Macaca mulatta: one gene and its partners. The protein of the gene in region 1 interacts with the protein of each later gene in a biochemical or structural test. Links are inferred from orthologs where the notes say so. Each region holds a gene or a part of one and is shown in the gene's direction. Other genes may lie near its edges. The genes, in order: SP1, POU2F1, MAPK1, ESR1, HTT, E2F1 and ATF7IP.

Region 1 (4,136 bases):
GGAGGCCAGAAATCCAGGTGCCTGCAGTAAAGTTTAACCTTCGTGATTGCAAAAAGCAGGAGCTCAACTATCTTGCTTTATGCATAGGCGGTATTTACTATTAACTCGGAAAAATGGAAGTGACTTATCCGCACTTTAGCCTCAAAGCTTGAAAAGTTAACCAGTCGTAAGTGGTTAGCGCCTTTGTCTGGCGGAACTTAACAAAATGGCGTTTTCTGGAATCTTACGGAGACTCTGCATATTGGTCAGCTCAGTATTAACTTATTTGGTGAGCGCTGTCCCCAAATCCCGTTCCGGCTGCACTCGCAGGGCTTGCAGCGACATTGAGGTATCTGCCCGCCTGTCCGCCCACCCGGGAAACGGGTAAGATTTGAGAGGTACTTTATAGGGGCAGTTAAATGAAGACTCAAACAAATCCTAGTGTTGATGCGGAACTGCGCGCCGAATGCCTTGGCTCTGACACCTGTTGAGCTGCAAGACTTCACTAAAGCGTCCCACCTAATGACTGTAACAACGTCCCCTGAGGTGGGCCAATATGGCGACGGTCTCCTCTTGGCACAGCCCTCTTCCCTCCCTCATGATGGGCGGCTCCGGTAACGCCCATTGGCCAACTAGGAGGCGGTGCCAGGCTTACTTCGTTCCCTCATTGGATTGAATAACTTAGGGAGCCGCCAATTCTCCTCTGCCACTCCAAGTTTCCGCCCTCAGAGTTAATCTGGCGTTTAATTGGCTTTTAATTCACGTCAATATGCGTCCTTTCCTGTCTTTTTTCAGTCTTAATCCAATCATAACTTTCCTGGCTGCCCGCCTGATTTCTGATTGGTTTTAATCAGCTTCAGCCTATCCTATTCCTGTCTACTTCTTACCTCTCCTCCCACTAGGATTTTGCCCAAGCATATCCCGGATTCTAGTTGGCCGTTGTTCTGTCATTCCTATCAAACCTTTCCCTATCCCAATGTCTCAGGGAGCCCGCCTGCCGGTTGACTGGTTTCCTTCCAAGCCAATAATCCCCAGCTCCCGCCCATCTTCACTTCCTGCATCTTTCATTGGCTTTTAACACTGAGAGGGCTGTCTTTTTGGGCGGACACCAGGCACGCAACTTAGTCTTACACGCCTTAGAGAGCAAGCGAGTCTTGCCATTGGAAAACCTCACCGTCTTTCTTCTGCAAGTCCCACCTTTCCCCCTCCCTCATTGGGCGGGGCAGCAGAGAAGGGGCGGGGCATAGGTTGGGCTGGTGGCGCGCTGCTCCCTCCTCCTCACCCCCCCCTCCCTGTCCGGTCCGGGTTCGCTTGCCTCGTCAGCGTCCGCGTTTTTCCCGGCCCCCCCCAACCCCCCCGGACAGGACCCCCTTGAGCTTGTCCCTCAGCTGCCACCATGAGCGGTAAGGATGAGTCCACTCCAAGCTTAGGGGTGGGAGGCGAGTGAGGGGGCGCGCGCGAGGGCCGACCGGGCGATCCCCGCCGTGAGGGGGGGCGGGCGGGAGGCGGCGGCGGCGGCCTAGGTCCCGCCCGGGGCGGAGGGAAGGGAGGGAGACGGGGCAGTGGCTGGGCCTCCGAGGAGGAGGGGGATGGGCCGCCCGCCCCGGGGGAGGGGGCAGCGTGGCCTCGCCCGCCCCCTGCCCGCCCCGGCCACGGGGGACGGGCCTTACCCCCCACTACTCGGCCGCCCGCCTGAGGCTCCTCCCGCCGGGGGCTGGAGCCGCGGGGGCGGCCCGAGCAGTGAAGGCCCCGCCCGGGCCAACCGCTTGTCTGGTCCGTCCTCTGGTCGCCGCCTGCTCCGGCGCCCTCCTCCCCCCACTTTCCGTAGATTTCCCTTCCCCCCGCCCCACCGTCCCGCCCTTTCCACGCCCCTCACCCCGAAACCGCCCTTTCCCTCAGGGCCCGCCCTCCGCCCCGAAACCTCCTGACTACTAACCAGTACACCCCTTTAGTTCCTTAGTAGTATTCACAAATGTTTTCCTACTAAAACTTTTTATTTCTTTTTCCCTTCTCCTCTTGTTACTTTTAATACTTGGGTTTTTGTTTATCTCTCTCTTTTTTTTTTGAGAGGGAGTTTCGCTCTTGTCGCCCAGGCTGGAGTGCAATGGTGCGATCTCGGCTCACTGCTACCTCCCGGATTCAAGCGATTCTCCTGCCTCAGCCTCCGGGAGTAGCTGGGATTACAGGCATGCGCCACCACACACGGCTAATTTTGTATTTTTAGTGGGGACGGGGTTTCTCCTTGTTGGTCAGGCTGGTCTCAAACTCCTGACCCCAGGTGATCCTCCTGCCTCAGCGTCTCAAAGTACTGGGATTACAGGCATGACCACCGCGCCTGGCCTCTCCATCTCTTTTAACCTTAATTTTAGCAATCTTTCCATCCACCCACATATTGTTTTTTGCCTTACTTGTCCTTTTTTCCCTTAGGATACTTTTTCTTATTTTGAAACTCTTTCAGCATGACTACCATCCTTCACATTTCCTATCCCCAAAGCACTTTTTGAATGTTTTCTTAGTTAATTTTGTGTAAGGGAGAATTGAGGCCCACTTTTGGCACCATTGAGCCTAGTTCATGTCCTGCATGCCCTGCAGCTCCCCTCTGCCCTCCAATCCATTTTCTTTATACTGGCGCCTTTCGCCTTCCTGTTAGTCATTGCTATTTCATCATAGCCTCCTTTTATCCTTCCTACCTCATCTCTTTTCTTCCCTCAAGTTTAAGTTGTTTGTTTTTTAATTGTTTTAGACCAAGATCACTCCATGGATGAAATGACAGCTGTGGTGAAGATTGAAAAAGGAGTTGGTGGCAATAATGGGGGCAGTGGTAATGGTGGTGGTGCCTTTTCACAGGCTCGAAGTAGCAGCACAGGCAGTAGCAGCAGCAGTGGAGGAGGAGGAGGGCAGGTAAGTGATAATAATAGAGTGGGGAAGATGTTGAGAGGATGTAAATATTCTTAGATAATTGCCTTACTCTTCATAGAAAGCTTTTTAGGGAGCTTATCAAAACCATTTTATAGATAAGAAGTAAGAGTATGGAGATCCCCAAAGACAGGAGTTTCAGCAATACAGATAGGTCAGCTTTTTGTTTCTGTTTTTTGCTCCTTGTCTGCACTACGTTGCTGTTTATTTGTTGTATACTGCCCCCTAGGCTGGCAGCTGGGTGTCACTAACTCCTTTCCTCTCCCTTATTTTTGGCCAGGAGTCCCAGCCATCCCCTTTGGCTCTGCTGGCAGCAACTTGCAGCAGAATTGAGTCACCCAATGAGAACAGCAACAACTCCCAGGGCCCGAGTCAGTCAGGGGGAACAGGTGAGCTTGACCTCACAGCCACACAACTTTCACAGGGTGCCAATGGCTGGCAGATCATCTCTTCCTCCTCTGGGGCTACCCCTACCTCAAAGGAACAGAGTGGCAGCAGTACCAATGGCAGCAATGGCAGTGAGTCTTCCAAGAATCGCACAGTCTCTGGTGGGCAGTATGTTGTGGCTGCCACTCCCAACTTACAGAACCAGCAAGTTCTGACAGGACTACCTGGAGTGATGCCTAATATTCAGTATCAAGTAATCCCACAGTTCCAGACCGTTGATGGGCAACAGCTGCAGTTTGCTGCCACTGGGGCCCAAGTGCAGCAGGATGGTTCTGGTCAAATACAGATCATACCAGGTGCAAACCAACAGATTATCACAAATCGAGGAAGTGGAGGCAACATCATTGCTGCTATGCCAAATCTACTCCAGCAGGCTGTCCCCCTCCAAGGCCTGGCTAATAATGTACTCTCAGGACAGACTCAGTATGTGACCAATGTACCAGTGGCCCTGAATGGGAACATCACCTTGCTACCTGTCAACAGCGTTTCTGCAGCTACCTTGACTCCCAGCTCTCAGGCAGTCACCATCAGCAGCTCTGGGTCCCAGGAGAGCGGCTCACAGCCTGTCACCTCAGGGACTACCATCAGTTCTGCCAGCTTGGTGTCATCACAAGCCAGTTCCAGCTCCTTTTTTACCAATGCCAATAGCTACTCAACTACTACTACCACCAGCAACATGGGAATTATGAACTTTACTACCAGTGGATCATCAGGGACCAACTCTCAAGGCCAGACACCCCAGAGGGTCAGTGGGCTACAGGGGTCTGATGCTCTGAACATCCAGCAAAACCAGA
Region 2 (4,054 bases), on another chromosome or scaffold:
AATGACTAAAACTTTAGCCGTTAAAATAATTGCTCTCACTTGGAAATCAGTTTTGTTTTTAAGTGTAGAACCGACAATTCTACCCAATTTAAGCTTCAGTCGTATCTCTCAAGACAGATTAACTAGAGCTGATTTAAAAACAAAAAACAAAAAACAAAACTTTGCTTACCATGAAATACACCTTTCTTTTTATTCTGAAAAAACAAAAAACCAAGCCTAGAAAAACCTTAGGGCTTTAAGAATTAGTAAAATAATTAGACCTGGGACTTTGTCCAGGGAATTTCACCATTTAAGATAAAACTCAGCAACATTTGCTACCAAGAAAGATACGTGCAACGGGAAACCCTTCCCCAATACCATATTTACTGTGAGAAACACAGTAAAATAAAATTCACGATGAAGTTACGGTTGATTTCGACATTTTTATTAGTTATCAGCTTACTGCTAGGTTTTAAAAGGTGTTCCAAGGCGGGAAAAAGGAGGGGAAAGCCTCAGAAGATGGGGTCTGTTTCGATCGAGGGGAGCGGCGTCAGAGGGGCGTGAAGGCAGAAAGGAAGGGTAGGACGGAAATTAGCGACTTAATAAGACGCCTAGTTGCCGAGGTAGCCAGCTGGGCGTTAGAAGCAAGTAGAGCAGAAGAGATTTAGGGCTAATTAAAACAATCACAGGACACTCCCCCTCGCGTTTGCCGGGGCCGGGTCTCCTGCATTGGCAGAGCCGGGGGCGGGGATTAGTTCGGATTCAAATTTAAAGCGGGAGGCCCGCGTGTGGCTCAGCAGGTGTCTCATGCCCGGCCCCCGCTGCGGTCGTTTCCGCCTCTACCTGCCCAGAGGGCCGGAAATTACCTAGCGAGGAGCGGCTTGTCCATTGTTGCCAATGTTTCAACTGCGCGGAAAGCCTGAAGAAAGTACGGGGCACAGGGCACGCGGGCCGCCCACTGCCCCTCCACGCGGCCCCACGCTCCTGGCCGCTGTGCTCCTTGCCCTGCATTTACAATGCCACGGGCCACTGGGGGAGACCGGAGCGAAGCCGGGAGGGAAGCAAAGCGGGAGGAAAAGGGAGAAGTCTTAAGACATCACAAACGCCCATGGCACTATATAATCTGGTTCCGAGCTAGAGGGAGCGCATGCGCCGGCCACACTTCAGGCGCGTGGAGATAGGCGCGCATGCGCAGAGCCGAGATGAAAAACGAAGCGAAGGGGTGACGGGCAGATTGAGGGCGCTGCTTTAGCTACCGAAAGGCCACAGCGGCCCGAAGGCGCGTGCGCAGAGCGCGGGACGGGGGTGGAGCTCTTCTGAGGGGGCCGGGGCGAACAGCGCCGGCCTCGCGCGCCCCCTGGCGCGCGCCCGGGGAGAGGAAGGAGCGGGAGGGGGCGGAGAGGAGGGAGGAGGCAAGCAGGGCGGGAGGGGGGAGGGGAGGCAGAGCGAGGGAGGGTTTATCGACCGGGCGATTTTGGTTAAAATATTCAAAATGGCGGACGGAGGAGCAGCGAGTCAAGATGAGAGTTCAGCCGCGGCGGCAGCAGCAGCAGGTAATCATTACAGCATTTTACATATTCATATTCATACTCAACCCCGGCTCCCGCTGCCCCCCCCGCGACTTAGCATAATTTATTAGTACTCAGGATTATTATAATTAACGGCGGGGAGATGGGGGGCCGGGGAGCACGGAGCCCCCGCCGGGCGCCGAGCGGAGGGGGAAAGAGGCTCGGAGCGGCCAGGCGGAGGGGGAAGACAAGGGGCAAAGGGGGCTGCAATCCACCGCCCTCCTCCTGCCCCTGGCCCACCCCGCCGCCGCTGGCCGCTCGCCGCCCGCCGCCCGCCCGCCGGCACCGGCCCTCCTCCTCCGCCGGCCGCCGCTGCCGCCTCCTAGCCGCCTTGCCCGAACCCGAGCGGGTCCGCGGCGGGGCGGCGGGGCCGGGGCAGAGGGAGAGGACAATAAAGACATTTTACATATTCATAGCTGCTGGGCTGGCGGGGCGCAGTGGGGCGCGGGCGGGCGGCTGGGGCCGAGCGGGCGCGGGGTGGGGGGCGTGGAGGGGGATGGAGGCGGCGGCGAGCACAATGCCGGGGAGGCGGCGGGGCCGGAGCGGACCCCGGCGGCCGGACACCCGCACGCGTCTTCCCCCGGGAGCGGGCCCGGGCGGGGGGGCGCTGCCCGCCTCGGGGGGCGGCCCTCAGGGCAACCGGGGGTGCGCGCGGGGAGAGCTCCCTGCCCGCGCCCCGCCACCGCACGGGGGTCCAAGCGGGGCTGAGCCCGGGGGTCACGGCCCCAGGCACCTCGGCCGCGCCCCAGTGGTCCCCGGTGTGGTGGCCTGACCCAAGCCAGGCCTGCTCTCTAGGTGGGTAGGGGTGAGCGGTCGTGGGCGCTAAGAGGTGGCCTGGGGCGGCGGGGGTGGGGAACCCGCGCAGGGGTCTGCGTCGCCCCCCTAGGGGGTGGACTGGGTTGGAAGGAGTCCTTGGGGCAAGTTCCTTCCGAGGGGATGTCCTCTGGGGCGGTCCGCGCGCCCCTGGCCGGCGGCCGGCAGCCCCTTTGCGTCGTCCGCCGGGGCTTCGCGGGCGAGTTGGGCTGGAGGTGCCTGGCGTGGTCTGACCTCCGTCTCCCTTTGCCCCTCCCCGCTGCCCCCCCCACGCCGCTCCCCACACCCCTTGCGCCTGACCGGGACGCACGGGGCGGGTGGCCCTCCGGGGCCTCTCGCTCCGAGGCCCTAGAAGCTCCCAGAGGCCTCCCGAGAACTTGGATGTAAAGGGCTGCCCTCCTGCCCCAGAATGGGCTGGCCTGACAAGTTGATCTCGATTTCCTCTCTCCTGTTGGGAGTCGGTGGGGAGGGACGGGGATCCCCCTCCCTTCTTCTGTGGCGGTGTTTTCTCGCTGGGTGCTGGGTCGTCTTTACTCTCTGCTTAGCCGAACCTCTTCTCATTTGAATAATGTCTAATTCGGGGAGGTTTATATTATTGAAATGGCCGCCTGGCTTTCCCCGCCTCTCATGTTTAGTAATTCAGACCTTTAATAACAGCCACTCACAGCCCAACGCCGTGTTTATATTTTACATTCGCCCCATGTGCTTTTGTGGTTCGATATGATTCTTTTTTTTTCCTTGGCAATCCACAGGGCTCTGAGATCAAACCCAGGCCGTGCTGGGAAGAGAGGGGGAAAGCTAGGCCTTGGCTCCTCTAGCAGTTGCCTAGGCCTCATGTTCTGTGCTGCTTGATTTATTTACTAATAACCAAAATGACTACCTCCACCAACTTCCACACACTTTCCCCTCCTCCGCGGGCAAAACAAACTCTCTTGGGGCTTTACTAGCATTAAAACAGCTCATAGCTAAGTATCAAGTCTGATATGGTTTGTTTTCTCTTAAAAAGACTTTCTTATAGTTTGCAGTAGTATTGGGCCTAGGGGGAAAAAATCTGTCCTGTATTTCATTTTCAGAGCCTATGAAATTTATTTCGGTTTAATCCAAATCACTTAGTTTTGGGGATAGGTACCCCGCTTGCTCCCCACCCCCATGTTAAATACTTTAAGGCTTTGTAAAGATCTGCAGTATTTGTGAAACTGAGACATTTTTCTTTTCCTCTAAGAGTTGTGGAGTAGCTAAATATTAGAAATTCCAATTAACACTTTCATAATTTCTTGCTGTGGTGCTCCCTTTCGAACATCTTCATTCTTATTTAAAATGGAGCTGACGTAAATTTTGTGCTTTCATTGTCATAGACTTGCTTATTTTAATTGTAGCATTACTGAAAACAAAAATGGGGTTATGTTTTCTTTGAGTATTTGTGTCATGGTTAAATGAGTGAAAAAAGAAGAATAAACACAGGCATTGTGTTTACCCTGATCTTGGAACTTATTCTCCCAGCACACCCGCCCCTCTTCTTTAAGTTGTCAGAATTGATTTTATGTTTTATCTAGACTTAGGACAGTTGGCCTGTGAGAGGCAGGTTAACTTTTACTGTTTAGAGGAAACAGTAATTTTGATTTTTGGTCTTTCCTGGGGTAAAATTTTCTTTAACATTTTTATTTTGTGTCGGGGTGTGTGTGAGTGTGAGTGTG
Region 3 (3,500 bases), on another chromosome or scaffold:
TATCATAAAGATAGTAGTAATTCTCAAGATTCAAATTCATAAAATTGAAGGTATAATTTTTATTATTGCTTTTACTTAGAATTCTGGTATATTAGACATTAAGGACAACTTGGAAAGAACTGGGCCCCATGTTGCTGCCGCAGATGTGTTTTTCGAATAATACTTTCTAGGTTTTCTTATAAAACTACCCAAACATCTTGATTCAGTTTCTTGGAAGAAATGGTCATGTCATTTTGCAAGTGAGAGAAACAAAGTTGATACAAATCATCAAGGTGTTCTCTTGGGTCCATTTTTGTTAGGGATAAAGATGTACTGTTGTCGGTTATTTGAATGTCTCTTCTGTGTCAGAGGAATTTGATACAACAGTAGGAAGGTGTTTTGGAGGCAGAAGTGATTATTCTCACCAGAATGCAGTTGCCGTTTAAGACAATGGGAAAATGCTTGTTTGTGTATTTCTGGGTTTATGAAAATACACATTCACCCAGTTAACAGGTCTAGGTTCTGTCTTAGTTTTGAGAGTCGCTGTATGCTATCTCATGTCAGTTGCATCCATCCTCCCTAGCTTGAGGCCTTTTTGTGGATAATATACATGCTACCTTCACAGGTATGAAACAGGTGTTTACACAGAGTGTTAAAAATATAATACTTTGCCAGTTTGCATTCTTCAACTATTCTGAGGGCTGTTTTTAATGCCATCTGTCTTTCTCTCTCTTTTAAGCTCTGCTTATGATAATGTCAACAAAGTTCGAGTAGCTATCAAGAAAATCAGCCCCTTTGAGCACCAGACCTACTGCCAGAGAACCCTGCGGGAGATAAAAATCTTACTGCGCTTCAGACATGAGAACATCATTGGAATCAATGACATTATTCGAGCACCAACCATCGAGCAAATGAAAGATGTGTATCCTTTTTAGGCAACTAGCCAATTCCACTGCTTGGTAACTTTGTTGAGTAAATAGAACTTGAAATTTCCTAAACTTAAAGGAAAAGTGCTTTAAACATGCTAAAGGGAAAATCGTCATCTGTTTGCCATTTACTCCCTAAGTCTAGTCATGGAAAATCTTGGTTAACTCCATTTGCAGTCATGTTTTTTTCTGTCTAAGAGATGGTTTGTTGTGATGATGAAAAGGTAAAGGGAAGATCAGTAGTAGACTAAGAAAGAGGGTGCCCTGGCTATCTACTGGGTGAAATTAGGACTGTCCTGATCTTAGAATCAGGTCACCACTTTAGGTCTCAGTTTCCCCTCCTTTAAAATGAAGGAACTAGTTGTCATGATCTTTAAGGTCAACTGGGCTCTGAAATTATGTGATTAACTATGACCAACATTTAGATATCTGGACTGAATAGGTCTAGAGGATGCTGCCTGGGCAAAGACTCCATTTGAAAGATAGAGAGGTTAAGTATACTGAAGAGGATCTGCCAGAAGGGAGAGGGTTATACAGCACTCCTACCAGTTTACCCAATTTGTATTCCACCCTCCAGGGTGCGGGAGCTCGCTGTCTCTAGGCAGCCCTTTCCATTTTTAAACAGCTCTGTTAATAAGTTGTAGTGATATTTGAAGTGAAATGCCTCCTGCCACTACCACCTGTTGGTCCTACTTTACTTTTGCCATGAAAATAAGCCTCTCTCAAATGACAGATTTTAAAATCATGTTTCCTTTGAATCCCATGCTGCGCCGCCTCTAGCATAAATCTGTAAGAAACAGAGAATATTATTTACACAGAGAGAGTAAAAAAAATGCAGAAATACTGCTAATGAAATAATACTATGATGAAGTTAAAGGCTAAATGCTTTAATAATTTAATTTCTGTTAGAAAGAAAGTAGCCAGCCGGGCGCGGTGGCTCAAGCCTGTAATCCCAGCACTTTGGGAGGCCGAGGCGGGCGGATCACAAGGTCAGGAGATCGAGACCACGGTGAAACCCCGTCTCTACTAAAAATACAAAAAATTAGCCGGGCGCGGTGGCGGGCGCCTGTAGTCCCAGCTACTCAGGAGGCTGAGGCAGGAGAATGGCGTGAACCCAGGAGGCGGAGCTTACAGTGAGCCGAGATCGCGCCACTGCACTCCAGCCTGGGCAACAGCGTGAGACTCCGTCTCAAAAAAAAAAAAAAAAAAAAAAAAAAGAAAGAAAGAAAGTAGCCATAGCTGAAGTTTTAGGTAGTTAAATAAGTGACCAGGCAAGAAAGCAAGAGGAGCAAAACACGCACAAACCCCTTCTTAGCACGACTTGCCCATAGTCTTATTTAGGATCTTAACAGTTATGGGAGAGTAAGAAAATAGATAGACTTAGGGTTGGATTTACTAGTAAGGGTATGTTTCTAGACCTGTATTTCTGGAAGTTTTATGTTTGGCTTTTGAGGAACTTGGGAAAGGAGGGGAGCGGCAACAAGAAGGAAAAAGAATAGTGACATTACAGGTTACTGGACCAAACAGAGGAGGGAATATGTGCTACTTACAGGCCACCAGTATTTCCAACAAACCTTGGAGGGGGTTCGTTGATGGTGGACAATTTAGAGAACAAAGAGGTTGAGACTTGAAGATTGACCAGAATTTCTGTAACAGCCTGTTTCAGATCTCAGTCTAGGCCCATAGCTGCATCAGTCAGATGTAATGCCGTAATTCTTGCCATCTCACAGGACCGAAAAGAAGTTAACGACTTCAGGTTCCTTCCATGAAAGAAACCAAGTTTTCCTCAGGTTTTTCTTTCCTTTAAGGGCCTCATAGTGTAATAATGGACTGTTTGGGAAGAGAGTCAAGAGAGGACGCATTTTTGTTTTCAACGCTTTGCTAAATATGACCAGCTAATTGGTGTTTTACTTAACCATTGCAAACAGATATATAGTACAAGACCTCATGGAAACAGATCTTTACAAGCTCTTGAAGACACAACACCTCAGCAACGACCATATCTGCTATTTTCTTTACCAGATCCTCAGAGGGTTAAAATATATCCATTCAGCTAACGTTCTGCACCGTGACCTCAAGCCTTCCAACCTGCTGCTCAACACCACCTGTGATCTCAAGGTCAGCCAGGTTATTAACTATTAAGCTGATATATATTGAAAAACTCTTTCACTGAAGCGTAGTTATATTTGTCATTATCGTATTTTAAATGACACTAGAAATGCCCAAAAACATTTTTATGGCAAAAATGCTAGTAGAGTGATAGTCCTCTTCTTCCTTATCCCATTGCTCCTTTTTCCCCAGAGATACTTTTTTTTTTCTTTTTTTTTTTTAAGATAGAGTCTTAGTATGTTGCCCAGCCTGGTCTGAACTCCTGGGCTCAAGCAGTCCTCCTTTCTCGGCCTCCCAAAGTGCTGGGATTACATACATGGGCCACAGCACCAGGCCAAGATAACTAACTACTGTAACAAATTGGTGGCCGTTTGCAGTGGCTCACGCCTGTAATCCTAGCACCTTGGGAGGCCGAGGTGGGTGGAGCACCTGAGGTCAGGAGTTCGAGACCAGCCTGGCCAACATAGCGAAACCCCATTTCTACTA
Region 4 (4,103 bases), on another chromosome or scaffold:
TATGCTTTTCGTGTGAACATACCTAAAGCATATACACGTAACCAGAAAATTAAAAGATGGAAAAATCTGCAGAGAGTGACAAAGGAAAGCTGGTGCATTTGTATTAGTATCAGATAAAGCTCATGTTTAGATAAAAAACATTATAGTAATAGAGGAAGTCAAAAGGTTAAAGTTTCAATTCACCAAGAAATATCCATTCTAAACATGTATACATACCCAATTAAGCTGCCTCAAAATATATATGACAAAAATTTAGAGAATTGTAGAGTCAGATATAAGGATTGAAAAGGAAGAAATGAAACTAATTATTTTCAGATGATATATACATTTACATAAAAAACTCCAAAGAATCTTCAGATAAATTATTAGAAATTGTAGGAGAGCTCAGCAAGAAGGCAGGATATAAAATTAATATACAAAAGTCAATGTCATTTCACTATACCAGAAAAAAGACAATAACATTAGAAAATAAATCTAACATAAGATGTAGAAAAACTTATTAGAGGCAAAATTTTCTTGAGAAATATTAAAGAAGATCTAAATAAGTAGAATTACATCATATTCATGCATAAGAAGGCAACATTTTGAAGATGTCTTGTTATATATAGGCCTAGGAATAATATAGTTTTAAGTTATGTTATTTTGAACTGTAGGTGAAAGAAAGCTCTTTTTTTTCCTTTGAGTATTTTAAGATTTTGAATAAAGTCATAGTGCTCTAGGAAGGTTGTAATATTTTATACTTCGCCAGCAGTGTTTGAGAATGCTTACTTCCTACATTATAACCACCATAAATATTTAAAACCTGATAGCACACAGTTTTAAAAATTTGAAATTCTCCAATTAACAGTGACCTTTAAAAATTATGTTTACTGGTCTCCATTATTTTGTCCTTTGTAAATTTTTATTAGTTTTTCTGTTCACATGTTCCATTTTTAAAATAGACTTTTAAGAGCTGTTTGTATTAAGAATATTAAGGCTTTGTCCCTATAATTAGTATTTTTCAGAATATCCTTTCTAGGTACAGTTTTTCAGTTCTAGTGCACAGAATGGAAACTTGTTACCTGCTATACCACATTTTCACTAGGATGTGATGTATTTATCACAAACAACAGTATTGGTCAACATTTTCCCTCGCTGTGAAGTGCACATTTGACATCCTTTAGAAAAATTACTGACGGTTTTGAGACGATTGTTTTGTGCTTTCTTTCAGTCAACGTAATTTTCCCGAAAGCAGAGATGACTCTTCCAGACATGCTAACAATGCCTGAACAAACTGTGTAAGCTTAGTCCAAAAAAAATATTTGATTAATAGATTTTATTTTGGTAGATTCTAAGGTTCTAAGCAGTCAGAGAAATAATCGCAGAGCCTCAAATATCTCCAAAATCTGATACCAATCCCTTTGATTGTGAATTATATTCTGTAGCTACCAAAGAAGGTAAGTTTTAATTTTTTCTACTCTATTAACTTTCTCTTGGGCAACTGAATATTAAGATGACTATGTAAGGAGGTTATCAGACCAAGGCCTCACACATCAGGATAAAAGCACATGCCATAGAAAGAACATTTGTGTCTCACAAGGTGATACCAAGGCAAGGCTATGGGATATATATGGGCACAATGTTGATATCTTCAAAGACTTAATACATAGTCTGGAGGTTTTCAGAGATTTTAATTTATAATGACAATCTTTCAAATTAGGAGAATTTTTGGACTGTAAAGTTAGCCAAACAAGTCTTCAATGATAAAAAACGTCTATATCTTACACAGGGGGAATACATTTTTTGTTCGTTTTAATTTTTTCTCTGTCTATTCATACAGGGGCATCACATGTCTTTATCATTAAAAACTCTGATTTAGATAGACAGTTGTAGAGAAATTTAATGTGTGAGAATTTAAAGTTGTTTTATAAAGATGTAGCAAAATACAAATTTAAGACCCACAGCACCAATGAAAAAGGGAAATTAATTAAACTAGACAACTTTTATGGGTACTACCCATTAAAATTAAAATTTTAGTCATTGTAAATTATATTACATTGTAACAGTTTTCAATCTGTTGTCAAGTTGAATATTTTGGTTGACAATTGTATTTCACAGTTGTTCACACTTTGCATAATTTTCTAAGGAAAATGAGTCCCTTGGGGAGAAAATTGTTCTAAAATTTTGTTGTTGGATAATGTTGCTGCACTAACATGATTTGCTGAAGTGGATCTACCATGTGTGTTTAGGTTTTTGTTCTTTACGAAATGTGTTGGGTGAAATTTTCCATAACACTGGTGAACTTTTCATGCTAATTTTCCAGTCCGTCAGTTTAAATATTATGCATTTTTTCCTGCGAATCTATCTTGAATCTGAAAAGGCCCCAGAAGGAATTAGCATGAGTCCAGAGTAGATGGACTGCAAATGTTACTCATATTTCAACATGTATCCAGCTTTCAGAAATAGCTTACTGAAATCAAGGTTGAACCACATGAAATTTTGGGGTTTTTTTGGATGTAAAAAAGGTTAAATATTGACATTTTCATATCATCCAATCTAATATCTTCCTCTAGTGAGGTTCTGGCAAAAAAAAAAAAAAAAAAAAAGTATGATGACCCAAGTTGTTCACTCTTTTAAGCTTTATATTTCAAAATATTTTTAAAATTTAAAGCCATATAAGTGCATCCCAAAAAACATGGGAAAATTTTGTAGGCTACTTTTGTTTACTGATTTTTCTTCTATAGATTTATTTTTATGCTATGCCTGACTCTCCAATTAGATTTTAGTCATCCAGGAAAGTACAATTGCTTGTACTTCTAAGCAATTCTCCCATCACCTGGACATTAACTGCAGCCCACACTGCAGTGTCTTGACTGCAGTAGGCACTCAGTAAATATTTATTGATGGTCCTGATTATGGGATGATGAAATATGCTAAAGGTAACTTAAACTTTTGTCAATAAAACTGAGTTTCAGGTTAGTTTGACCTTTTCCGTATCTCTAAATATTTTCTTTCATGTCATTTTTGTGAAATAGCTCACAAAAGTACTTATTGATTCTGAAATCCTTTTCCCCTCTGGTATTCCTGAGCTATTCTCACACACAGCACACCAGTGCCACCGTTTGCTGTTTTGGTTAAAATCATTCTCATTAATATTCCTCATTCAGTAAAAATAGTTGATTCTCAGTTATAAATATACACTTCATATTGGCAATGTGGGATGGAAAACAAAATGATGATATTGACTCCATAAGATAAACAGCAGTCTTTAGAATAGAGTTTGGTGCATAACTGTTCTAAATGTATCAAAGTTATCTCATTTAATCCTCCCACACACCTGTGGGAAGAGAGTATTTGTCTTGCTTTACAGATAAGGAAGCTGAGGCTTAGAAGATTCATATGTCTAACTAAGATCACAGAGCTGGTAAATCAGCCAAGTTTGAGTCTAAATCCAGGTTTTAAATATCATATTACATGTAGGCATAGATAAGCAAGAACAGGTTTTCCTGAAGATGGCCAGGCTAAGGCTTAGAAGAAGGAAGCTCAAGGAGACTAAACCAAGATATGCTAAGGCAAGTTTTTTTGTTTGCTTGTTTGTTTTTGAGACCGAGTTTCGATCTTGTTGCCCAGGCTGGAGTGCTGTAGCATGATGTTGGCTCACCACAACCTCCGCCTCCTGGGTTCAAGTGATTCTCCTGCCTCAGCCTCCCGAGTAGCTGGGATTATAGGCATGCACCACCATGCCCAGCTAATTTTGTATTTTTAGTAGAAACGGTGTTTCACTATGTTGGCCAGGCTGGTGTCGAACTCCTGACCTCAGCTGATCCGCCCACCTCAGCCTCCCAAAGTGCTGGGATTACAGGCATGAGCCACTGCGCCTGGCCTGCTAAGGTAAGTATTAACCATTAGAGATGACTAGTCCCAGTGACAGGTCTTTCCTACTGGGAGTCAGCCAAGAGCTCCCCACTTTTCTGGTTCCGTTGTTCCTCCTGCAAAGTTCCATTCATAAAGTGGTTTCCCATTTGATTGTCCAATGATGCAAATCTCCAGTCCTTTATAGCATTGAGTTTCTCATGGCCTTTTACCGTTGAGTTTCTCATGGCTAATGAATGCTAATGAATTGG
Region 5 (4,017 bases), on another chromosome or scaffold:
GTGCCCCAGGCGTGAGGGGGTGCCCCACAGATCTCTGCTGAGCTGAGGCTGAATGGCACCCCTTGGGGGTCCTGCCAGGTCAGAGCAGGGTGCTTTCCCATACAGAAACGCCCCCAGGTCGGGACTCATTCCTGTGGGAGGCGTCTTGTGGCCACAGCTGCTTCTCGCTGCACTAATCACAGTGCCTCTGTGGGCAGCGGGCGCTGACCATCCGGGCCTGCCTCAGACCCTCTCCTCCCTTCCGGGGCGCTGCGCTGGGACCGATGGGGGGCGCCAGGCCTGTGGGCACCGCCCTGCAGGGGCCGCTCCAGCTCACTGGGGGGTGGGGAGGGTCACACTTGGGGTCTTCAGATCGCGCCGACCACGCGCAATCTCTGCGCTCTGCGCAGGGGCTCGCCCACCCTCTCCCCGTGCAGCGAGTCCCCAGCAGGCTCCCCGCAGGGCTGTCCAGGTGAGCCTGGCTCTGGCCGCGGGCCAGTGTGGCGGGCGGGCAAGCCCCGAGGCCACCTCGGCTCAGAGCCCACGGCCGGCTCTCGCCCAGCTCCAGACGTCTGCGAGGGTTCCATTCCGCTTGGGCCGGCGTCCCGCGCGCCGCGCCCTGGCCCCGCCCCTCCCTCACCCCGCCCCCTCTGCACCCCACCCCTCCCTGGCCCCGCCCTCCGCACCCCACCTCTCATCTTCCCGCCCCGCCCCCAGCCACGCCCCTCACGGTCAGCCCCCTCCCCTATCCGCCCCGCCTCTCATCGTCTCGCCTCGCTCCGCCCCTCAGCCGTCCCGCCCCTCAGCCGCCCTGCCTAATGTCCCCGCCCCCAGCCTCGCCCCGCTCCGCCCCAGCCTCGCCCCGCCCCGCCCCTCAGGCGCCCTGCCTGCTGTGCCCCGCCCCAGCCTCGCCACGCCCCTCGTTACCATGTAGTCCCGCCCCGTCCCTTCCGCGTCCCGCCTCGCCCTGCCCCTTCACAGCTTCGCCCCACCCCATTACAGTCTTGCCACGCCCCGTCCCCTGTCCGTTGAGCCCTGCTCCTTCGCCCAGGTGGGGCGCTGCGCTGTCAGAGGCTTTGGTGGCTCTGTGAGGCAGAACATGCGGGCGCAGGGACTGGCTGGCTCCCTGGCCAATCATTGGCAGAGTCCGCAGGCTAGGGCTGTCAATCATGCTGGCCGGCGTGGCCCCGCCTCCGCCGGCGCAGCGTCTTGAGACGCAAGGCGCCGCGGGGGCTGCCGGGACGGGTCCAAGATGGACGGCCGCTTCGGTTCCGCTTTTACCCGCGGCCCAGAGCCCCATTCATTGCCCCGGTGCTGAGCGGCGCTGCGAGTCGGCCCGAGGCCTCCGGGGACTGCCCAGCCGGGCGGGAGACCGCCATGGCGACCCTGGAAAAGCTGATGAAGGCCTTCGAGTCTCTCAAGTCCTTCCAGCAGCAGCAGCAGCAGCAGCAGCAGCAACAGCCGCCGCCGCCGCCGCCGCCGCCGCCGCCGCCGCCTCCTCAGCTTCCTCAGCCGCCGCAGGCACAGCCGATGCTGCCTCAGCCGCAGCCGCCCCCGCCGCCGCCCCCGCCACCACCCGGCCCGGCTGTGGCTGAGGAGCCGCTGCACCGACCGTGAGTTTGGGCCCGCTGCAGCTCCCTGTCCCGGCGGGTCCCAGCCTACGGCGGGGATGGCGGAATCCTGCAGCCTGCGGGCCGGCGACACGAACCCCCCCGGCCCCGCAGCGACAGAGTGACCCAGCAACCCAGAGCCAATGAGGGACACCCGCCCCCTCCTGCGGCGAGACCTTCCCCCACTTCAGCCCCGGTCCCGCACTTGGGTCTTGTCCTCCCGCGAGGGGAGGCAGAGCCTCGTTGGGACCTGTCCTGAATTCACGGAGGGGAGTCACGGCCTCAGCCCTCTCGCCCTTTCCAGGGTGCGAAGAGTTGGGGCGAAAACTTGTTTCTTTTTATTTGCGAGAAACTAGGGCGGGGGTTTAACTGTGTTCTGAAGAGAACTTGGAAGAGCCGAGATTTGCTCAGGGCCACTTCCCTCATCTAGTCAGAGAGGGAAGAGGGCTGGGGGCGCGGGACACCTCGAGAGGAGGCGGGGTTTGGAGCTAGAGAGATGTGGGGGCAGTGGATGACATAATGCTTTTAGGACGCCTCGGCGGGAGTGGCTGGGGTGGGGGGCGGGGAGTGAGGGCGCGTCCAATGGGAGATTTATTTTCCAAGTGGCACTTAAAACAGCCTGAGATTTGAGGCTCTTCCTACATTCTCAGGGCATTTCATTTAGTTCATGATCGCGGTGGTAGTAACACGATTTTAAGCACCACCTAAGAGACCTGCTCATCTAAGCGCAAGTTAGTGTGCAGGCATTTGAATGAGTTGTGGTTGCCAAATAAGTGGTGAACTTACGTGGTATTAATAAAATTATCTTAAATATTAGGAAGAGTTGATTGAAGTTTATTGCCTGTTTGTGTTGGGAATAAAACTAACACGTTGCTGAGGGGGAGGTTAATTGCCGAGGGATGAATGAGGTATACATTTTACCAGTATTGCAGTCAGGCTTGCCAGAATATGGGAGGTCTGCAGACTCCGTGGACATCTCATGTGCCAGTGAAAGGGTTTCTGTTCGCCTCATTGCTGACAGCTTGTTACTTTTTGGAAGCTAGAGGTCTCTGTTGCTTGTTCTTGGGGAGAATTTTTGAAACAGAAAAAGAGACCATTAAAACATCTAGCGGAACCCCAGGACGTGGGAGTGTGTGCTGAGTGTTTAGCAGGATTTAGGAAGTACTCCGCTGCAGTTCAGGCCTTTCTCTTACCTCTCAGTGTTCTATTTCCGATCTGGACGTGTATCAGATGGCATTTGATAAGAATATCTCTATTAAGACTGATTAATTTTTAGTAATATTTCTTGTTCTTTGTTTCTGTTATGATCCTTGCCTTGTCTTGAAAGTTTAATTAGAAGAGGAGGATTTGGAGAGCAGTGTTAGCTTATTTGTTAGTAAAATTTAGGAATAAATTCTTCTAAAGGATGGAAAAACTTTTTGGATATTTAGATAAATTTTTAAACAATTTGGCTTATCTCTTCAGTAAGTAATTTCTCATCCTTCCAGAAATTTACTGTAGTGCCTTTCTAGGAGGTAGGTGTCATAGAAGTTCACACATTGCATGTATCTTGTGTAAACACTAAACTGGGCTCCTGATGGGAAGGAAGACCTTTCTGCTGGGCTGCTTCAGACACTTGATCATTCTGAAAATATGCCGTCTCTTTCCTGTGCTGATTTGATAGAACCTGCGTTTGCTTATCTTCAAAATATGGGTATCAAGAAATTTCCTTTGCTGCCTTTACAAAGGAGATAGATTTTGTTTCATTACTTTATTTTAAGGTAATATATGATTACCTTATTTTAAAAATTTAATCAGGCCTGGCAAGGTGGCTCATGCCTTTAATCCGAGCACTTTGGGAGGCTTAGGCGGATGAATCACCTGAGGTCAGGAGTTCGAGACCAGTCTGGCTAACATGGTGAAACCCCATCTCTACTAAAAGTACAAAAATTAGTTGGTCATGGTGGCACGTGCCTGTAATGCCAGCTACCTGGGAGGCTGAGGCAGGAAAATCGCTGGAACCCGGGAGGCAGAGGCTGCAGTGAGCTGAGACTGCGCCACTGCACTCCAGCCTGGGTGACAGAGCGAGACTCTTGTCTCAAAAAAAAAAAAAAAAAAGAAATTATTATTTTTGCATAAGTAATACATTAACATGACACAAATTCCGTAATTACAAAAGAGCAATACTTAAAATATCTTCCTTCCACCCCTTTCATCTGAGTACCTAACTTTGTCCCCAAGAACAAGCACTATTACAGTTCCTCCTGTATCCTGCCAGATATAATCTATGCATATTGTAAGATAGATTTAAAATGCTGTAAAAATAAAAGTAGTTTACAGTAATAATTTTTTTTCTTTATTTTTTTTGAGATGTAGTCTCACATTGTCACCCAGGCTGGAGTGCGGTGGTATGATCTTGGCTCACTGCAACCTCCACCTCCCAGGTTCA
Region 6 (3,500 bases), on another chromosome or scaffold:
AAAGTGCTGGGATTACAGGCGTGAGCCACCACGCCCGGCCTAAACATTTCTTATATAGTTTTTGTGGGTCAGGAATTCAGGGAAGACTTATCCAGCTCTCGCTTGGGGTTTCTGGAGGTTCAGCCAGTGTTTGGGGTCTGGCTGCTAACAGAAGTTGTGACTAAGTGTTGCTGTTGGGAAGAAGCTACAGTTTCTTGCCTATCATTGGGGCTACTTGAATGTCCATATGACATGGCAAAGTGACCTAATACAGAGCAAGGAGGAAGCTCCAGTGCCTCTGACCCGGTCTCAAAAGTGACACGCCATCCCTTCCACCACATTCCATTCATCAGAAGCAAGTTACCAGATCTAGCTCATAAAGGGGAGGAGAATTAGGCTTCATCTTTTGAAGGAGAAGGATCAAAAAGTTTGCAGATGTGTTTTAAATCCACCACTAGACCCCAGAGAAGTGAAAATTGAGTGTCCTGTGTAGTAGGACTGTGACTTTCAGGCTGTGTCTTCTCTGATCTCCCTCAGTCACACACTCAGGCATCCTGCTAGAGAAACTGAGGCGGGGGTAGTCCAGAGGCACCCAGCCTTCAGCCAGGTCTCTTCTGGCCTCACTTCTGGTTACTGGGCATCCTCCCATTGTTTTCGCCACAGGTGAAGCGGAGGCTGGACCTGGAAACTGACCATCAGTACCTGGCGGAGAGCAGTGGGCCAGCTCGGGGCAGAGGCCGCCATCCAGGAAAAGGTAACTATGAAGCTTGGGCTGGGCAGGCCCCCTGTGACCAGGCCCAGGTTAGGGGTGTGAACAGACAAACAAGTTTGCAAGCTAACATCTGGCTTGTCGGGCTTGAGCCAGGCCTCTGAGGACCCTGATGGGCAGTGGGAGTGGCCACCTGGCTTGGTTTCTCCAGGCCCTGAGGGGTGAGGAGTTCCCCGGCCAGAAGAAGAATGCTGTGGTTGGCCTCGCCAAGGGGAAGGAGCTGGCTGTCCCCCAGCCCCTATCATCCTGCGGCCCTGCCCTGCCAGAGTAGCAGGCCTGGCTGGAGGTGGGGGTGGATGCTGAAGGGCCCTGTCTTGCCTGACCACACCCCCGCAGGTGTGAAATCCCCGGGGGAGAAGTCACGCTATGAGACCTCACTGAATCTGACCACCAAGCGCTTCCTGGAGCTGCTGAGCCGCTCGGCCGACGGTGTTGTCGACCTGAACTGGGCTGCTGAGGTGCTGAAAGTGCAGAAACGGCGCATCTATGACATCACCAACGTCCTCGAGGGCATCCAGCTCATTGCCAAGAAGTCCAAGAACCACATCCAGTGGCTGTAGGTACCGGCCACACAGGAGGGCAGGCACACCTGCCCATGCCAGCCTGGAGGAGCTGGTAGTAATACCCACTGTGGCTGCCTGCATCCCCATCTTACAGCTAGGGAAATGGGCTCAGAGAGGAGAGGTAGCTTCCCTGAGATGATAGATGGTAAAAAGCACACAAATGTTACATATCCACCTCACTTGTAGCTTTACTTTTTTCTTTTTTCTTTTTTTTTTTCTTTGAGAAGGAGTCTCGTTCTGTTGCCCAGGCTGGAGTGCAGTGGCGCGATCTTGGCTCACTGCAAGCTCCGCCTCCCAGGTTCACGCCATCCTCCTGGCTCAGCCTCCGGAGTAGCTGGGACTACAGGTGCCCGCCACCACGCCTGGCTAATTTTTTGTATTTTTTTAGTAGAGACGGGGTTTCACCGTGTTAGCCAGGATGGTCTCGATCTCCTGACCTTGTGATCTGCCGATCTCGGCCTCCCAAAGTGCTGGGATTACAGGCTTGAGCCACCGCGCCCGGCCTCTACTTTTTTCTTTTTAGATGAAGTTTCACTCTGTCACCCAGGCTGGAGTGCAGTGGTGCGATCTCAGCTCACTAAGATCACCTGAACCTCCACCTCCCAGGTTCAGGTGATTTTCCTGCCTCAGCCTCCCTAGTAGCTGGGGATCCAGGCGCCTGCCACCACGCCCAACTAATTTTTGTATTTTGTAGTAGAGATGGGTTTCACCACGTTGGCCAGTCTGGTCTCGAACTCCTGATCTCAGATGATCTGCCTGCCTCAACCTCCCAAAGTGCTGGGATTACAGGCGTGAGCCACCACGCCTGGCGCAGCTTTACATATTTATTCATCTGGGTTGCCACCATTCAGATCAAGATAGGAGCATTTTCAACACCCTAGAAGGTTCTCTTGTGCCCCTTTCCAGTCATTGCCAAGCCTTCATACCGCCAGGTCACCACTATCCTGGTTCTCATGCCCTCATGAGGTCTGTCTGGCATAGATGTTTTATTTTATTTATTTATTTTTTTTGAGACTGAGTCTGGCTCTTTCGCCCAGGCTGGAGTGCAGTGGCCGGATCTCAGCTCACTGCAAGCTCCGCCTTCCCGGGTTTACGCCATTCTCCTGCCTCAGCCTCCGGAGTAGCTGGGACCACAGGCGCCCGCCACCTCGCCCGGCTAGTTTTTTGTATTTTTTAGTAGAGACGGGGTTTCACCGTGTTAGCCAGGATGGTCTCGATCTCCTGACCTTGTGATCCGCCCGTCTCAGCCTCCCAAAGTGCTGGGATTACAGGCTTGAGCCACCGCGCCCGGCAGATGTTTTATTCTTTTACTTGTTTTATTTTCCCCCTCCCGCCTTCGCCCCAGTCATCCTGCTACTACCCTTTCTTTGATACAAACACCTGCCTTTTCATTTTTTGGTAGATTGTTCCATTCTGCATCTTTTGTGTTTTTTTTGGTGGGGTGGGGGTGCGGTTTGAGACAGGGTGTTGCTCTGTTGCCCAGGCTGGAGTATGGAGGCACAAATACAGTTTACTGCAGCCTCAACCTCCTGGGCTCAAGCCCTGTACCTGTAGCTAGGACTACAAGTACATGCCACCATGTCTGGCTAATTTCTTTAATTTGGTGTAGAGGCAGGGTCTCACTGTGTTGCTCAGGCTGGTCTCAAACTCCTGAGGCTCAAGCAGTCCTCTGGCCTCAGCCTCCCAAAGTGCTGGGATTATAGTTATAAGCCACCAAGCCCAGCCTTTTCTTTTTTTTCATTTGACAGCATGTCTTGGAAATGCTTGTGTGTGTGTGTAATATTTCGTGGCATGTCAGTTCCATCATTTATCCCACCCTGGTTGAGGGACATGAAGGTGTTTATATTTGGGCCAGACTTCAAGCCCATGACACTCTGATTTGGAGCCCAGCTGAGGAACCAGACCCAGAGAGAAGCAAGGGCTTGCCTGGGCCTCACAGAACAGAGGTGGCAGCAGACTCTGTCCTGAGGGCCAGGGCTCCTGGCCAGAGGGGCCAAGTGCTGCTAACCCTACCCTCCCTGGTGCCTCCCCACAGGGGTAGCCACACCACAGTGGGCGTCAGCGGGCGGCTTGAGGGGTTGACCGAGGACCTCCGGCAGCTGCAGGAGAGCGAGCAGCAGCTGGACCACCTGATGAATATCTGTACTACGCAGCTGCGCCTGCTCTCCGAGGATACTGACAGCCAGCGA
Region 7 (2,258 bases), about 44 Mb from region 1:
CAATGTCACATTATCCTGTGACACAATTTTGTCAGTGTTTGACTGGTATGAAGTATCATCATAATGACGATGATGTTCCAGTGTTAGAAAAGTCAATAGGACTTCCTAAAGTTAGAGTCACGTTTTTTTCATCATCTGGCCTTAACCTACCTTTCCAGATTTTTCTTCATGTACCCTATATCCAAGAAAAAGTTAATACTTGTTGTCCATACGTCCCCTCACTTTCCTGTCCACATGCCTTTGCTCATGCTTTATTTTTGGCTGAAAGGTACATGATTATTTCTGTATCTCTAGATCCTATCTTTCACAGTTCAGTTTAAATATCACCTTTTTTTTGTAAATTGGCCAAGAATATAGTACACATTCAGTGTTAATACGCTTATTTATAAGAATATGCTGTTGTCTTATATTGCAAAATAACTTAAAAATGAAAGTATAGTTGTATTCTCCAATTTTATATGATCTTGATTGCCATACATGATATTTTAAAATGTTATACTGAAGTGATAATCTGTAACATAGATAATTCAATCATAAATTATTTTGTTAGAAGTAGATCATTATTTCCGTGTTCCTCAAAATGATGTTCCATCAGCAGGGGCTTTTTATTTCCTAAGAAAAACTCAAAATATTTTAGGTCTAGGAAATAGAGCAGGAATAACCTCAGCATCATTGTTTGTGGCATCATTCATTACAAAACCCCAAATAGAACTTGCCAAATTTGATATGGTGTTTGGTATTTCCTAGAATTCTTGATGTAAAATGGTATCTCTATGTATGTTCTCTAAGGTGTTTTAATCCTAACATTCTAAAATGTTCTTTTTGCGATCATTATAAATCAGTGTGACTTGTTTTTTTAGGAGCCGCCACGCCCTGTGCACCCAGCACCCTTACCAGAAGCTCCACAACCACAGCGTGTGCCCCCAGAAGCTGCCAGCACATCTCTGCCTCAGAAGCCACACTTGAAGTTAGCACGAGTTCAGAGTCAAAATGGCATAGTACTGTCATGGAGTGTCCTGGAGGTGGATCGAAGCTGTGCCACTGTTGATAGCTACCATCTCTATGCTTACCATGAGGAACCTAGTGCCACCGTGCCCTCACAATGGAAAAAGATAGGGGAAGTCAAGGCACTTCCCTTGCCCATGGCATGTACTCTCACCCAGTTTGTATCTGGTAGCAAATACTACTTTGCAGTACGAGCCAAGGATATTTATGGACGTTTTGGGCCTTTCTGTGATCCTCAGTCAACAGATGTGATCTCTTCCACCCAGAGCAGTTAAACCTTGGAGCCTTTATATTTTCCTCTTTTAAAATTTCCACCTTTTGGTCTTGTTTTTAATCTTGTGCATGATACCCCATGTAAAATCCACCTTGTGCAAGATTTCTTGGACAGATGTGTGTATACACTACATTTGTTTATAAACAGAAGCAAAATAAACTCAGCCCACAAAGCTAGAATCTTTTCCTGGACAGTTTAGGCTTTGGGGTTTGGAAATGTAAATGTGTACCTTGCTTTAGTTTTGAGGCTGGGGAATATGTGTGGGTGTTTATGTGTGTTTTTCCCTATGTATGTGTTACTGCATTGGAGTCTCCCATTTTTATTCTCAAATTTACCTCTTAAAGTACGAAGTAGTAGATCAAAGGATCTGAGATGTGTAACTGGCATGACTCTGCTTTTAAAGGATCTGTAGGATCATTTTAGTTAAATGGTTTAAACAGAATCAAAACAAAACCCAAAGAAATGAATTAAAAACAAAATGGCTAAATAGTTTAAAATAGGTTGATTCGAACACAGGAAAGGATCTATTTGTTGTTTCTTTTGTCTGGTCTCCTAAGTTATTAATTAGGTTAAAAAAGATCTGCAATGGCCCCCTCCCTTTCCTGATCTGGCTTTTACATTTATTTTGTGCCTTAAAGATTAACTACAAAAATAAACATGGCCAAAAATAAATAAATAAACATGGCCATATGTCCATGGTTGCTTACTCTTCCCTTGCAGCCTTTTTACCCTTGATTTCTTGCACACCTCCTCAAGTAATTTTTTTTTTTTTTTTTTAGATGGAGTTTCGCTCTTGTTGCCCAGGCTGGAGTGCAGTGGAGTCTCAGCTCACTGCAACCTCCGCCTCCTCCGTTCAAGCAATTCTCCTGTCTCAGCCCGAGAGTAGCTGGGATTACAGGTGCCCGTCACCATGCCCGGCTAATTTTTGTATTTTTAGTAGAGATGGGGTTTCACCATGTTGGCCAGGCTGGTCTCAAAC

What was found.
Region 2: the proteins of SP1 (region 1) and POU2F1 form a complex in vitro, tested with the Homo sapiens proteins (3 studies listed by BioGRID and IntAct). The link is inferred for Macaca mulatta from reciprocal best matches to the Homo sapiens genes SP1 and POU2F1.
Region 3: of the proteins of SP1 (region 1) and MAPK1, one has a biochemical effect on the other in vitro, tested with the Homo sapiens proteins (2 studies listed by BioGRID). The link is inferred for Macaca mulatta from reciprocal best matches to the Homo sapiens genes SP1 and MAPK1.
Region 4: the proteins of SP1 (region 1) and ESR1 form a complex in vitro, tested with the Homo sapiens proteins (6 studies listed by BioGRID and IntAct). The link is inferred for Macaca mulatta from reciprocal best matches to the Homo sapiens genes SP1 and ESR1.
Region 5: the proteins of SP1 (region 1) and HTT form a complex in vitro, tested with the Homo sapiens proteins (2 studies listed by BioGRID). The link is inferred for Macaca mulatta from reciprocal best matches to the Homo sapiens genes SP1 and HTT.
Region 6: the proteins of SP1 (region 1) and E2F1 form a complex in vitro, tested with the Homo sapiens proteins (4 studies listed by BioGRID and IntAct). The link is inferred for Macaca mulatta from reciprocal best matches to the Homo sapiens genes SP1 and E2F1.
Region 7: the proteins of SP1 (region 1) and ATF7IP form a complex in vitro, tested with the Homo sapiens proteins (3 studies listed by BioGRID). The link is inferred for Macaca mulatta from reciprocal best matches to the Homo sapiens genes SP1 and ATF7IP.

Annotation. Positions count from the first base shown.
Region 1 is NC_133416.1:60,525,951-60,530,086, forward strand, and holds the start of SP1 (transcription factor Sp1), read left to right. Parts: upstream 1-1,336; 5' UTR 1,337-1,375; coding exon 1,376-1,382; intron 1,383-1,886; exon of another isoform or gene 1,887-2,083; coding exon of another isoform or gene 2,084-2,165; intron 2,166-2,722; coding exon 2,723-2,880; intron 2,881-3,175; coding exon 3,176-4,136. UniProt on the Homo sapiens protein: Transcription factor that can activate or repress transcription in response to physiological and pathological stimuli.
Region 2 is NC_133406.1:24,774,584-24,778,637, forward strand, and holds the start of POU2F1 (POU domain, class 2, transcription factor 1), read left to right. Parts: upstream 1-1,254; 5' UTR 1,255-1,471; coding exon 1,472-1,532; intron 1,533-4,054. UniProt on the Homo sapiens protein: Transcription factor that binds to the octamer motif (5'-ATTTGCAT-3') and activates the promoters of the genes for some small nuclear RNAs (snRNA) and of genes such as those for histone H2B and immunoglobulins.
Region 3 is NC_133415.1:31,183,087-31,186,586, forward strand, and holds part of MAPK1 (mitogen-activated protein kinase 1), read left to right. Parts: intron 1-718; coding exon 719-901; intron 902-2,833; coding exon 2,834-3,023; intron 3,024-3,500. UniProt on the Homo sapiens protein: Serine/threonine kinase which acts as an essential component of the MAP kinase signal transduction pathway. MAPK1/ERK2 and MAPK3/ERK1 are the 2 MAPKs which play an important role in the MAPK/ERK cascade.
Region 4 is NC_133409.1:70,391,526-70,395,628, forward strand, and holds the start of ESR1 (estrogen receptor), read left to right. Parts: upstream 1-1,303; 5' UTR 1,304-1,436; intron 1,437-4,103.
Region 5 is NC_133410.1:3,254,538-3,258,554, forward strand, and holds the start of HTT (huntingtin), read left to right. Parts: upstream 1-1,217; 5' UTR 1,218-1,356; coding exon 1,357-1,592; intron 1,593-4,017.
Region 6 is NC_133415.1:86,450,472-86,453,971, reverse strand, and holds part of E2F1 (transcription factor E2F1), read left to right. Parts: intron 1-642; coding exon 643-733; intron 734-1,084; coding exon 1,085-1,304; intron 1,305-3,346; coding exon 3,347-3,499; intron 3,500-3,500. UniProt on the Homo sapiens protein: Transcription activator that binds DNA cooperatively with DP proteins through the E2 recognition site, 5'-TTTC[CG]CGC-3' found in the promoter region of a number of genes whose products are involved in cell cycle regulation or in DNA replication.
Region 7 is NC_133416.1:16,943,279-16,945,536, forward strand, and holds the end of ATF7IP (activating transcription factor 7-interacting protein 1), read left to right. Parts: intron 1-860; coding exon 861-1,280; 3' UTR 1,281-1,758; downstream 1,759-2,258. UniProt on the Homo sapiens protein: Recruiter that couples transcriptional factors to general transcription apparatus and thereby modulates transcription regulation and chromatin formation. Can both act as an activator or a repressor depending on the context.